Linked DNA regions of Coturnix japonica. The protein of the gene in region 3 purifies or fractionates together with the protein of the main gene of each other region. This does not show direct contact. Links are inferred from orthologs where the notes say so. Each region holds a gene or a part of one and is shown on either strand. Other genes may lie near its edges. The genes, in order: NAPG, SCFD1, NSF and STX12.

What was found.
Region 1: the proteins of NSF (region 3) and NAPG purify together in Homo sapiens (affinity purification with mass spectrometry; 3 studies listed by BioGRID and IntAct, with this or other methods). This does not show direct contact. The link is inferred for Coturnix japonica from reciprocal best matches to the Homo sapiens genes NSF and NAPG.
Region 2: the proteins of NSF (region 3) and SCFD1 purify together in Homo sapiens (affinity purification with mass spectrometry; 3 studies listed by BioGRID and IntAct, with this or other methods). This does not show direct contact. The link is inferred for Coturnix japonica from reciprocal best matches to the Homo sapiens genes NSF and SCFD1.
Region 4: the proteins of NSF (region 3) and STX12 purify together in Homo sapiens (co-immunoprecipitation; 4 studies listed by BioGRID and IntAct, with this or other methods). This does not show direct contact. The link is inferred for Coturnix japonica from reciprocal best matches to the Homo sapiens genes NSF and STX12.

The regions. Positions count from the first base shown.
Region 1 is NC_029517.1:88,361,087-88,365,341, forward strand, and holds the start of NAPG (gamma-soluble NSF attachment protein), read right to left. Parts: upstream 2,803-4,255; 5' UTR 2,713-2,802; coding exon 2,657-2,712; intron 1,876-2,656; coding exon 1,808-1,875; intron 922-1,807; coding exon 837-921; intron 1-836. UniProt on the Homo sapiens protein: Required for vesicular transport between the endoplasmic reticulum and the Golgi apparatus.
Region 2 is NC_029520.1:31,000,626-31,004,637, forward strand, and holds the start of SCFD1 (sec1 family domain-containing protein 1), read right to left. Parts: upstream 2,836-4,012; 5' UTR 2,739-2,835; coding exon 2,708-2,738; intron 1-2,707. UniProt on the Homo sapiens protein: Plays a role in SNARE-pin assembly and Golgi-to-ER retrograde transport via its interaction with COG4. Involved in vesicular transport between the endoplasmic reticulum and the Golgi.
Region 3 is NC_029542.1:649,215-652,781, forward strand, and holds part of NSF (vesicle-fusing ATPase), read right to left. Parts: intron 2,421-3,567; coding exon 2,325-2,420; intron 2,128-2,324; coding exon 1,971-2,127; intron 1,421-1,970; coding exon 1,287-1,420; intron 123-1,286; coding exon 56-122; intron 1-55.
Region 4 is NC_029538.1:1,335,486-1,338,190, reverse strand, and holds part of STX12 (syntaxin-12), read right to left. Parts: intron 2,357-2,705; coding exon 2,313-2,356; intron 844-2,312; coding exon 772-843; intron 450-771; coding exon 344-449; intron 1-343. UniProt on the Homo sapiens protein: SNARE promoting fusion of transport vesicles with target membranes. Together with SNARE STX6, promotes movement of vesicles from endosomes to the cell membrane, and may therefore function in the endocytic recycling pathway.

The DNA.
Region 1 (4,255 bases), on a different chromosome or scaffold from region 3:
TCCCTGGTTACCAAATGTTACCACAAGCACTGTATTGTTAGCCACATTTAGTTAATACTATCCATTCATAGATACTTAAAAGTGCTTATATAAATTTATAATGCAGTACATAAGCATTTCAGGCACCTCTACTCTACACTGGTGAGACCTCATCTGGAGTACTGCATCCAGGTGTGGAGTGCTCAGTACAGGAGACACACCGACCTGTTGGAGAGCACACAGAGGGCCACAAATATGACCCAGAGAATGGAACACCTCTCCTATGAGGACAGGCTGAGAGATCTGGGGCTGTTCAGCCTGGAGAAAAAGAGGCTCCAAGGAGATCTGACAGCAACTTTTCAGTATCTACAGAGGGACTTTAAGAACAAAGAAGACAAAAACTCTAGCAGAGTCTGTTGAAAATGGACAAGGTGAAGTGGTTTTAAACTGAAAAAGGGGAGATTTAGATCGGATGTAAGGGAGAAGTTTTTCACAGTAAGGATAATAAGGCATTGAAACAGGTTGTTCAGAGAGATGGTGGATGTCCCATGCCTGGAGACACTCAAGAACAAACTGGAGGATGCTGTGAACAACCTGATGTGTCCCTACTCATTTCAAGGGAGTTGGACTAGGTGACCTTTAAGGGTCCTGCCAACTCAAACAGTTCTGTGCTTGTATATCACTCAGAACAGATTTTCTAATCAAGAGGTCTTCAGCTTTCCTATTCACAGCACACAGTCCTTTGAAAGAGAACCTTCTTAGACCGACAACATGAGCAAAGATATTAATTTTTCAATCCACTACTCAATTCTAAATAGCAAGTAACTTCTTGGAAAATAAAAGTAATGAAAAGATACGCTTTGTTGTTTTCATGTGCTTCAGCTTCTCGTAAACAGGCTTCCCTTGCCTGGTCAAACTGCTTGGCATTCTTAAAGGCAACAGCTGCAAGAAACCAAAGATGAAGTTCTCATTTACAGCTTGCCTTTTCTTTTTTTAATCACATCTGCTAAAGTATTCAATCATCCAAACACGCAAGCAGGCACTTTAGACAAACTGAATGGCTTGCTAAATTGTAGCCAGAAAATCCCACCACAGGGTTGAATTAGCCACCCAATTGGTCCCCAGTGATAGGACAAGAGGCAACTGGCACAAACTGGAACATAGGAAATCCCATCAAAACATGAGATTGGAAAAATTCTGTACTTTGATGGTGACAGAGCATTGGAACAGGAGGGCCAGAGAGGTCACAGAGTCCTCTTTTCTGGAGACATTCAAGACTCATCTGTACACTTTCCAGTGTACATGGGTATAAATTACTATTAACAAGAAGAAAAAAATCAGAGTTCCATATTCAGTATGACACCTGTTAACAGGAAAGGAGGAAAGAAATCTTACCGTGTCCAGAGGAAAAAGAAATTACACCACAAACTAAAAATGCCTCTACCTTATTAAAACTCTCTTAGGTCAGGCAATCCAAATGATGGTGAAAAAGTTTTAAGAACAAATAGAATTTTTGTTATTTGGGAATATCATGTGATTTGGGGGTTGGCAAGTGAAAAGAGGAAAGCTTTAATGTTATGATATGTATTAAGATTCAACATATTAGCAGTAAACTTGAAAAGAATAAATTTTTTGCAATTAGTATTGACTTCCAAGTACAACTTGAGATTTTACAGTGCTAAGAACATTTATCTTCCTCATTACTATAGTCTTCGCAACAGTTGTACTTATACAGGAATATACTAAAACTAAGTAAAATATTATTGGAAATGAAGCTTAAAAACTATAAAACCATAAAGCACGCGCCCATATTTACAGTCACACATACCTGCCTTCCCGTATTCAGTAGCTGCACTATCATAATCTGGTTTCCATTTTAAGAATCCAGTTTTCAAGCTAAAATGTAAGAAGAAAGGACTATTAACAGCGAGTAACGCCTTTGTGTTTCACCTCTGAAGTACTTCATTTAGATTTAAAACATCAGACAGCCTGATATGTCTGTAGCAGCTTATGGTACTTACTGATCCCACACATACACAAATACAGGGCCCTGAGCAGCTAAGCTGGTGGGTGGCAGCCCTGCCCAAGGAACAGGGTGGGATATGAGGTTCTTTCCAACATAAGTCATTCTGTGGTTCCATGAATTATGTGAGTCATCAATGCTGACCTCAGTATTATACTTATATCCTTAAAAAAAGGCATGCATACAAAACTACAGCTCTAGAGGCCGCTGACACAGACACTCCAGATGTATTACATGCTTAGTAACGAAATGAGTTAAAATGAATTCCACCAAAAGGCGTAGTGCTCAGGTAACGTAAAGAAGCCACCTGGCACACACTGCTGTTCTGAAGCATCCTCTGAAGCTGCCTGCCAACTGCCATACGTAGACATTAGGCCCACTAAGCAAAGTGCCCGTACTACTGAGGCCACCCGTAAACAAACAGACCCCCAAAGCCCCGCCTCAGACAGGCCATATCCCCCGCTGCCCTCCCTTTCCAGCCCAGGTCACGTCGCCGGCAGCTGCTGAGCCCACGGGAGGATCACGGGCAGCCTACATCTCCCACAGCACTCCGCCTCACCAGCCCAGCGGGCAGGAGAGGAGCCCCGAACGCTGAAGCGCCCACGGCCTCGCCCGCTTCTTGTTGCCGACATGCCCAGCCCAATCCCCGCTCACTATTTCTCCGCTTTCGCGATGTGCTCCAGGGCCTCGTTAATCTTCTGAGCCGCCATCGTGACTGCAGCTACGGAACGCCGCAGGGCTCACGGCGCGTCCGGGGGCGGGGATGAGAGCTGCGCCTTCTCACTGCGCCTGCGCCATCTTGGGGGGCGGGATCTGCTGCTGACGGCAGCTGTTGGTAACGTGACTGCCTCAGGGTGACGCTGTGTGGTGCTCCTCCATGAGCAACCTGTGCCCCTCTTTCTGAGAAGAAATCACAGAATTATCAAGGTTGGAAAAGAACTAGAAGATCATCTAGTCCAACCGTTACCAGTACTTCCTAGCTAAATCATATTTATCAACACAACATCCTGACGTTTCTTGAACACTCCCATGGTCGGTGACTCCACCACCTCCCTGGGCAGTGCATTCCAATGCCTGAGTACCCTTTCCGAGAAGTAATACTTCCTAATGTTCAGCCTGAATCTCCCCTGGCGCAGCTTAAAACCATTCCCTCTAGTTCTGTCATCGATTACACGAGAGAAGAGGTCAACCACAAGCTCACTACAACCTCCCTTCAGGATGTTATAGAGAAAATGTTTCCTGATGGCCAACCTGAACCTCCCCTGCCATGACAAGGCCTTTATCTCTCATCCAAAGCAGGAGAAATGATTGGTGTTCTGGCCTCTGTGGGCTACAGTGATCCACAAGTTATACACTCGGTAACTGCACTGAAAATGCTGAGGTCTGCATTGCTGCCCGTATTTTGATTTTCTGCTACTTCTTGTTTTCATAATCTGAAATGTCAGAAAGCTGATATGGAATCAGAATGGCTTGGGTTGGAAGGGACCTCAAAGCATACCCAGCCCCAACCCATTATAGGCAGGGCTGCTACCCACCAGCTCAGCTGCCCAGGGCCCCATCCAGCCTGGCCTTGAGTACCTCCAGGGTTGGGGCACCCAAAAAATGCTATGTACATGTCAGTTACACCGTTCTGAATTGCTTTCCTATCCTTTACCATTTCCAGCATTCCCCTGATGATATGGACGTTTTTTTCTTCTAACTTTAGTTCTTGCACTACCCTGGAGATGCTATCTATAGCAGATGGTGGAAAATCCCCATTGTGTTATGTATTATTCTGTATTCTGTAACAAAGTAGGAAAGAAGGTAGCATTTGTAGCAGGTGAATAAAAAGAAATCATAAAGCTAATGCATTAACAGGCAGAATAATCTCAGAGAGCGCTTCTGAAGCACCCAGTGAGTAACCTGTTCTCCTGTTTGTTTGTGGTAGTGTTCCTGGCCAGCTGTGTTCCCTGGGTTATAAAGAGCTGCTGACTTTTTTGTGAGGCTACACACGTGCACTGTCTGGTTACACTTTATGCTGGAATGACCAGACAACACATTTCCAGGACTAGTATTAAATGAAATAGGATATTCCTGGGTAGCTTTTATTTTGTAGACACAGAACCTCCAGAGATTTTACATCTGGGAAGGATCATATCACAGCATCTGGTACTTGCCTGTGAACTGGAATTTGGTATTTAAAAATACCCAGGCACGGTGTGACAAATTTTTACAGGGATAGCATTCAGAATGACAAGCTTTTATAAGTGCAGG
Region 2 (4,012 bases), on a different chromosome or scaffold from region 3:
GGGTAGAATATTGCTTTAGTCTCTTTACACTTCAACAACAGACATTAAACATGTGAGTCCTAAAACATGAAGAATCTCTTTCTTTGATTACATGGGCTATATTCTACTAAATTTTGCCTTAAAACTCTTTTCAGACTCTTCCTGAAGAGTCTGTTTTGTATCCTACAAGTTAGTCTGCTTTACTGTAATTGTGCTTCATCCTACCTGATCAGAACAACACCACACACACAGGATACCACACAGCAATACCTCTCTGACTGACTAAAGCTGACACATATTTTTTACAACATTTTCAGCACTTATAAGAAACTGCTGCATAAGGGAGCATGAAAGCACCCCTAATTTGCAACAGGAAAATTCTGTCCATGTGTATCCATTTAACTTCACATTCAATACACAAAACAAGGCCTATTTTTCACCTACCTCCACTTTCTAAGGGCTCCTAAGGAGCCCTTCCTCATTCATCCGATTAAACACCATGCACCTGATTAAATACACCATGCACTGTGGCAAAAAGTGAAAAAATAAATTGCATCGGTATAAGCTGGCAGCAATTCTCTCCAAATCCATAAACAAAACTGTCATAGGATTTTGCAAAGAGAAAAACTTTCAGAAATCAGGGCTACGTAATCCACTTTACTCATAAACAGAAGCAGATAATAGAATAATTTGAATTGGAAAGGACCCATCTAGTCCAAACCCCCTACAATGAAGAAAAGAAATATTTAAATCTCCCCTCTTTTATTCTGAAACCCTTTCCCCTTGTCACATCAGAACAGAGCCTGCTAAAGAGGCTGTCCCATTCCTTCTTATAGCTCCTTTCATGTACTGAAAGGCTGCTATCAGGTTCCCCAGAGCCTTCTCTTCTCCAGGCTGAACAGCCTCAGCTCTCAGCCAGCCTCACAGGAGAGGTTTCCATCCCTTGGACCACCTTCATGACCCTCCTCTGGATGCTCTCCAACAGAACCATGTCTCTCCTGTATTGACTCCACCTCAAGACACAGTACACCAGGTGAGGTCTCACCAATGCAGAGTGGAGGAGCAGGATCACCTCCCTTAACCTGCTAACTATTACTTCTTTTAATACAGTCGAGATGCACTCAACTGCAAAAGCACATTGCTAGACACCCTCAAGATCATTCTGTTAGGGCTATGCTCAATCCTTTTGTTGTCCACACTGTACTGATAGCAGGGGCTGCCAGCCCCAGGTGCAAGACATTGTAATCAGACTACCAACATGCTGCGACCATCACAAAACCTAGAGATGTACTGGCTGCTTATCTTTTCTGTTCTTGCTCTTCCACTTTATGCCAAAAACTCTATGGGGCAAGGGCAGGGTTTTCACAGTGGGGCACAGCAATACACTCTGATTATGGAGCAGGGCCACAGCACAACAGACACACACACAGAGCAGTGTTCACCCTGCTGAATACCTCTTGTTTCCAGCTACCTCCTTGCTAGTGACTGCCCCAACAGGAGACAACATGGGTATAAACGCTGACTGAAAGAGGATGAGAACAGTGAAAGAGAAACGAATAAAGTCACAGGGAATAAAGGCTCAATAACAAGGGGCTTTATCAGAAAGGTGTAAGTGTGAGAAAAAGTACTGTAAAGGAACATGAATCAGTTCCATCAGTGGTAGATGGGCAGTGGAATGTGATCAGAGAACATATAATTATGGTACAGAAAAGCTGGTAAAACATTAAGTTCAAAAAAAGAGACTCGGGATGAGACTTTTAAGCAGATGACCATAGGTATCCTGTGTTAAATGAACGCACCCAGAATCCTCTAAGAAGCTGTCACGAGAAGATGACAAGACTGCAATTAAAACTATAGACAAAAACTCAGTGAAGTGAGCAGGAATACAGAGCTGACACACTCTGTGCTTTAGGGGTATGTTCACATGGATGGCTCAGCGCCCCTGTACAGAGCAGCAGCAAGAGGGAAATGAAGGAATCAATTACAAACTCAGCAGGGCATAAGGAGGGACTGAGTAAACAACCCTTTTACCCACAGAATACCTCCCCCAGGGAGCCTGAGTTGGTAATATCACAATCGTAATTTCCTAAAGGTCAGTAAACACTCCACAGAATCACAGAATTGTAAGGGGTTGGAAGGGACCTCTAGAGACCATCGAGTCCAACCCCCAACTCCAGGACCTCAGTAGCGTCTAAACAGGGGCAACAAAGCAGTTGTTTTACATTTTCACCTTTAAACGACGTTTCTGGCTGACCCTTCCCACAGCACAGAGGAAGCCGAACAAAAGGAAAGCACAGCCCAGTCCCACGAAGACGGACACCGCTCCCCTCCCGGCCGCGCAGCCCCACCCCGGGGCTGATTTCCACATCGCGGCGGCACCTGCGGCCGCGTCCCTGGGCACCTGTGTTCCCCGGGCCCGGCAGGCCAGGCCCCTCGGCAGGAGAGCCCCGGTCCCGACACCGTACCCACCGCTGAGGAACACCGCGGCGAGAGGGGCTGGGAGTAGGAGAAAGCCGCCGCCGAGCGACACAAACCGGCCGAGGATCCCCAGGTGGACCGAGGCGGCCCGGGTTTCATCTCGCCCGAAGGAGCCGTCAGAGAAAAGGAGGGGAGGAAAGCAGGCTCCCAGAAGAGCCCCCAGATACACCCTGAGATCCACCGCGCTCTTTTCCCACTGCAGGCAGAACAGCGGCCTCACAGCGCAATAGAAACCATAGGAACCGCTTACCTATCTGCTTCTCCCTGATACCGGCCGCCATTTTGCCTCGCCGCCAGCCCGGCGCAGCTCCCCGCCCCCTGCCGCGCACGCACACACCGCCGACGTGGCGGCCCGGCTCAGCGGCGGGGCGGAGCCGTTACTGGGCGGCGCCAGATGGGTCCGAGCGCCTTGCGGCCGCCAGCTCCTGGGGGGCTGCGATTTCCACGTCGCTTTCGGCCTTAAACCGAAGTTTTTAGGCAAGAAGAGGCTGCACCTGTTTTTGTCTAACCCGCACGTTGCGTGCACAAACTGCAACCGGGCAGCTGTGAGGCAATTAGGTCTCCACCTGGGGACGGCAGCTGGCGAAGATAAATTCATCAGCACTGACTACGTTTGTGCATCTCTGCTCTTTGCAGTCTTTAGTAGTTACTATGCTCTCAGCTGTTCTGTGTTTAGAGAAAGCACTGAGGAGGAATAGCCCCGTGCAGCTGAAACTGACAGAGATTTGAGGGTAAATGTGCACCATCTACGAGGGCTGCTCCAAAAGTAACACCTCCCATTTTATTATGTTGGCCTATGATGTCAGAGGTGGATGCTGAGTTGGCAGCAGCTGAACTTTCCCACCAATATTCCATTCCATTTTGTTGCTGTGCAGCAGATGGCAGCAGGTCTGACAAAACGGCCTCTGACGTGGAAGGGCACAGGAGTCAAAGGTGCATCACTGAATTTCTCCCTGCAGAAAGAACTGCAGCCCCTCTTCACCACTAGCAAAAATGCACAGCTAATGGTGGTGATTATGTCAAAAAATAGTGCTTCGTAGCAGACAATTTGCTCTACCAAACAGCATTAATTGTACTCTTTTTATCTGCTGTAGCCCCCACAGAAATCAACAGGAGGCATTACTTTGGGAGCAACCTACTCAGCATACGGAGCAAAAGCTAGCGCAACTAGAAGGAAATAGCAACAACACTTCTAGAACTAAAACCCACCAAACAAAAGAAAAGCAGCAAAGATTCACATTTAAATTACCACGTTGTATTAACTCTTTATTGCACTTTCAAACATTTACACGACATTTGTCTCCCACAATTGAGTATTTCAACACTGATGCTACATCTGTCACATACAACATTGCTTGAAGCTGCAGCACTTCAGGCACTGATTCTGCAGTTGACTGCATTGGAGTTTTAAGTTTTTACACAGCTCTAATTAATTGCATAACATTCTAACAACAATAACTTTTAAACAGTTTATGCAAGTACAAAACTCATTTGTTTTTTTTTTAAATTTTTTTTTTATTTTTTTAAACAAGCAATATTATGATTATTACTTTTC
Region 3 (3,567 bases):
CCAGATCATTTTTGGTTTGCCGTTGCAGACAACACAGACCCCCATCCCAACCCACCTAGAAGTCTCTCAATGTCATCCACAACAACGCAGCTAAGTTGGGACTTGTATGCATCATCAAAGATCTGAAAAACAGCAAAAGGAGTCACTGCTAAATCTCAGCAGCAAAAACACAATAGTTGTGATAGGAACTGTTGATCTGTTTTTAACTAAGCACAGCAGTATTTAGATGAATAAACAGAGAATGAAAAAGTTATGAACTATGCAAATCTTGCAATGAACTGCTCCTCTGTTCTTAGAGTAACATCCCTCATTTACATGACTAATCCAGTATAATTCAGCTAGAAGAAAAATAAGTGCTGGCTTGCTTCTGTAAATTAGATCTCCTTCCTTCCACCTGGCTACTTGAAATGATTTAAGGAGTTCAACTTGTCTGCATTTGCCCTGTGCCCCAAGTCGTTAAAACCCTTGTTTAGACAAACCCTACCAACTCAAAACTGTTCATTCAGGCAGGATCTGTTCCTTCCATGTGCAGCCCTGAGCCCTTCCTGCTTTCATCCTGGAAGACTGAGCTCCAGACTTGCTCATCAATGATCTGGAGTTTTGTGTCACTGTTAGTGATGATTACACATCAGAACCAGCTGGGCCAGAATCATGATATTTTCCCTTCCAGATGAGTCTCAAACTTTATTCAAATAAACCACATGGAATTTCCACAGCTGGGGCAAAGCAAAAGAAGTTTTTTTTGAAGATGAGTGAAATGCCTGTGAGTTGTAAGCTTAGACCTGCTACCTTCAGCAAGATCCTTGCCTTCTTTTGGGTCTACCCGATCAAGCACCCTGAAAATATAACTACAACTGACCAAAATAAACAAATATATGCAAATTTAGATTTCCTGAAGCTCGAAGAATTTGTGTCATTACTGATTTCGCCACAGAGTTTCACATCACTGGTGAAAATGTGTAGTTAAAGATTGTAACTATGTTGAAAAATAGAATTTTGTAGCTGAGAATGTGCTCTGTGAAACAGTGTTATTGTGCTCTTCGTGTATGTTGGAGTTTCCATGGAAATATATAGGAGGCACTACTTCTGGAGCAGTCCTTGTGTAAATGCTAAATCACTCAACTATCATAGGATGAGTCACTGAGCGTCAGCATGAAAAACATTCATTCAACTTCATAACATTCAGGAATTTAGGGCCTACAGAGAGCCCAGTCACAGGACAGTCCCTTCCTCATCCACTGTAGGGAGCAGTTGGATTGTCATCAAAAGAAAGGGTGCAGAAATACCTTCTTCATAGCCTGGCACTTGGCTGTTTCAGAAAATCCAATCATCTTATCAGGAGAACAGATCTTGATGAAAGGGAAGTTGGACTCCTCAGCTATCTTTGCTGCTAAAGCAGTCTTCCCACTGTGTGGGGGACCTGAAACAAAGAAATACGACTAGAAAAAAAACAAGGGAGAAAACGGGCCTGATAAGGCTCAGCATGAATGATGTATTAAAATGCTTGTAACTTCTTTCAAAGAATATCTGAGAAATGAAATGACCTTTTCTTCTACTTGCACAAAAAACAGTGCAATCCAATCGTCCAGATGAAGGAAATTAATGCAACTATTGGAGCACACAGAGCCTGATTTGCCATGAAAGTGGCAAAAAAGAAAATGACACATTTTGTAGGATGGGCCACTGCAGAAAGCACATCTTCCTCTTTTGCAGAACATTTCTGAATCATGTTTGTGCCTCTTAAAGATATGATGTCTGCAGGTACCGAACGAACAGCCTGAGTGCCCAGGAAATATGGACAAAGATGATTTATGATTTGCCTGAATTCACACCAGTATAATTTACAGACACCCAATCCAAATCAATCTGGAGTATGATAACAGATCACCACTTGGGCAACTGATAGGAACAGTATAAAGAAGGCTGTTCTTGTTTGTTTGTTTTTGCATGGATATTATTCTTAAGTTTACCTTCTAGAAGAACGCTAACCAGCGGAGTACGGTCACTGTTCTTGGTTTGTTGAACAAGCAGCTCCCCATCATCCAACACCCTTGTTACTGGATCACCCCACTTAATAATGCCATTCATGATATAACTCGCATAGTCTTCCTGGTTGGTTCCAAATGCCTGTTTTAACAGAGGGAACGTTTACTTCACAGACATCCTCAGTCAGTGAAAGTTGCTCATGGGTTTTGAATCTGCATCATATAAAGACTATTCTCAAAAATGGGGCTTAAACATTTTAATTACAAAAGGAATTTGCTTCCTTGCATCGTTAACTGTTCTGGGTGATTCTATTTCCCAATTACACAGCGCCTACTCACTGGTTTGATATCATTCTCCAAGGATGCAAAGAAGTCTCCTCTTGTCACACGTAAGCTTTCTGCCTTCTCCATATCTACTTCCACTTTGTTGCTGGCCTAAATAAGGTAAGAAAACAGAGTGAAGTACAACACAACTGTAAAAGATCCCCTTACCGACTTCAATGCAAGGATCCAGAGCTGCAGTTCAGCTGCAGCCTGAAAGGATCATCGAGTCCTAATCTAGACTTAGGTGAGACTAGAACTTATGTAGGTTCCCTTTAAAGTAAGGAGCTGCTCTCTCCCTTCAGAGTCTGCAGAAATTCTTCATTGCAGATTCTGGGTGCTGTATAAAAAGGGGATGAAACCATCATTTTGTGACTTATTTCAGAAAGTTTGGTTTAACCCAACACCACGTTTCCCCACTCCTTCTTTGGCAACTTCAAACAAAGCATTTTCCTCTCCACACACAGAACTCTTTAAGGCAACTGGTAAATATTAGATTTCTTTCTGCTTCATCTGCCTCAGTCCCAATGCAGTACCACCAGTATTAGAATAAACACACTACAGTTAGCTCACATTGCTCTCCTTTCTAAATTGAAGACAGCATCTTTTTCCTTCTGCTTCTCCCAAATTCAGATGTATTATTGACTGTGGCTGCACTCTACACTATGGAGCAGCTCCATTTTCCATGATTATTTCTAGATCTGCAAGAATATGGATTGCCTTAGGCAGCAATCAGGAATTACATGGATATGAAGCAACTTTCCCACTGAGTGTCACACAAACGCTCACTATTACAGGCTAATCCCATCTGTGCAGTCTGCTGACAATCCTGCATGGAGTTACAGATATCAGAAAGAGGATTAGTCACAAAAGGGGCAGAAGTTGATCTGTGCAAAGCAATCCATCTAACTGCAAGATGATACGGCAAAAATCCACTTTAAGTAACTTGGCAATGAGGTAAAAGATTTTCATTCTTTTACACCTTGGCTTTTGGAAATTTTCCAATTAGATCATGAAAAATTTATTTAGATTCCAAAACAAGCCTAATTTTCATTGAACCTCACCAGCACCTTACATCAGCATGTGGTTTTACCCAGGAGTACGAGGGCCCTACATCATCTGATTGTTCAGAAGGTTAAAAAATGGGATTTCAAGGCATTTCTTGGAAGGCACAGCAACATCCAACATTTTTCCCTACATGGACAAATCAAATAACACTCCCCCTGAAACATACATCTCAGAGACATCACCTTCTAACTAC
Region 4 (2,705 bases), on a different chromosome or scaffold from region 3:
GATGGAACTTGGGATTAACATAAGAGCTTGCAATATTCCCACTGCTCATTATTTTTTCCATGCCACTAGCAACTAACAGAGCAGGGAATTGAGATGAACACTGTCACGAGTTACTCCTACCATCTCTGAAGGACCACCAGTGAACACTGAAGGAAAATATACCTAGTCTCCTTAAACTGGAGCAGGGAGATTTATCTTGGAATCAATCCTCTCTACAAGGAACTGTTCCTTCACCTTCAGGTCTCCTCAGCCCATCCCATTAGATAGCACTGCATGAATTCTTTGGTTTCTACCCTAATATTGTTAACTATATGTTAACATAAGCGCAGGATCTACTCTTCACCTCTAATTGCCTGATTGCCGTTTCTCTTTCTTTAATAAGTTCAAGATCCTGTTCAGTTATCGCCACATCTTCTTCTTGAGACTGCATTTGGTTCCAGTCTTCACCACTGTGAAGGGAAGGAAGGATAGTAAAACACTGTTTCTTTCAGCACAGGCATATTTTCTCACTATAATTACACTGAATCACCAGCATGTTAAAGCTGAAAAGATTCCTACAGAACACCAGTCTTGCAACTACAGGCTTATGGCAACAATTACAAATGAGAACAATAATGGGGACAGACCAAGAGAAGTGAGGAAACTGAAAAGCAGTACATGCATAGGATAGTTTGTGCTAGGATGTGACCATTACCTATAGCATTATAGAACAGACCTCATTTCAGGTTGGTTTTTTTTTTTTTTAAGTTTGTTTTTTAAGAATATCTGTACCTTCCTTTCCTCTCACCATCCCCCACAAAAAGGGGGGAATCAACCAGGGTGAAAGTCTTGATGGAGAGCAGCCTGCAAGCACAACATTATCAGATCAAAAGAACACCTGACAAGCATCCTGGCTCTAAGATTCTCACTTGCTATCTGCCATTTGGGGATACGAAGAAAGGGTTTAGTATGTTAATTCATTAATTTAGCAAGAACTACAAATTAAAGTCACACATCAAGAGAGATGTTTAGAAAAATCTCTGCACACCTACCCTGATGACAGTACTTCATAACTGCCACGTAAGTTACACACACTGATTACAGTGAAGGCAGTACCAATAGTACAAAGTCATCTATGTGTCCAGCACAAAAGAGTTCTTCTAGGGTAATATCTCCCTCTTCTTCTCGGAGGCAAACGTATCTGAAAGCACTGTAATATACCCAACAGGCACGTTGTGACATAACTCTACGTAGTAAGTTCCAAAGGCTCCAAGTGCAAAAAGAAATGACAATAAACTACTTGACTAGATGGGATACAGCAGAGACATTCAGGAATTCAGCTGAGTTGACAGGAGAATCTTCAGGTGTTTAGGGCACAAGTTTCTGATGTGCAGCACATAAGAACAATTTTAAATGCAAAGTAGTTGCTGCACGATACTGCATCTCACTGAGATGAGGGCCTCTGCATGAACAGGTATTTATGTGGCACCCCATGCAATAGTGAGCAAGACTTCAAACTCATCACAGCATCTTTATGACTGAACAAAATAGGGCTTTCACTTCTGACTCAGCACGTGGAACCTCAGGACTAACAAAGGGGGACACACACCAAACAACTGATCAGGAGAGGATGGATGAGACATTTCAGATAGGTGCCTCGAGTTAGAACATTGCAAGGTTTATACAGATAAGGCCTACATACTTCATCCTCTATTTCTCAGGCATGCATAGTGGAAACTGACACAGTAATCACAAATGCTTCTGCAGTGTCTTGAGTTCACTTGACTCACACTGTAGAGCTGATGCAACATTCTGCAAACTCATCTGCTATGCAGGCACAAAGTTACCGCAGAATCTATATATATGTCTGATATTTTATATCGATGTAGACTACGCATGTTCTGGTATCAATTTGTTATTTCTTCCAAGTTTAGAGCAGCCTCATCCACTGCTTTACAATGGCTCCATCTGGGCTCATAGATAACACCCAAACTCATAAAAGAAGTAAAGAGTTTTTCTTGTGGAAAGAGTTATGTGACAGAAAATACGTCTGGTAATCTTGTGCTCACAGTCCAGAACACCAGGAGGGCCAATTATCATATAACAGAGACTGAACTATTCCCAGTGGGACAGCCTACATTTCAACAGGGTCAAATACTGTCATGCATTTCTTTTCCTAAATGCTGTGTATTAGCACTGTAATAGCTGCATAGCATCCTTCTGTTTTTCATTCAGCTATAAAAGAGTTGTCCAAGATACAATATATCTATAACAATTTTAATTACACATAGGTTAAGAGTGTGCCCCGAGAATGCAAGAATGCAATTCTTTACCTATCAAATGAAACAAGCTGTTCTTCTCTGAACCGCTCATCAGCCTGGAATAGATAAATGAGGTGTTAATATTTCAGATCAGCAGAACTACCAACAAGCAAAATCAACAGGAATATACTGAAGAAAAAGGCATTTGCTGTCCAGAGACAGCATTGTCTCTTCAACTTTCAGATTTAACCTAAGGGAATTTAGACCAGATTTAGATTCATCTTCAGACTTAAATTCAGACTGTCTCAGCAAATCAGAGGCAGCTGAAAGGCAAAGACAAGAGTCTATTTACTCAGATCACTGATGTATCATCAGCATATCAAGATGTGTGCCTACTAATTACAACATCTGGAACAGCAAAACAACCTACTGAGGCCTCATTTGTGATCAGTAATGCATCAGTAG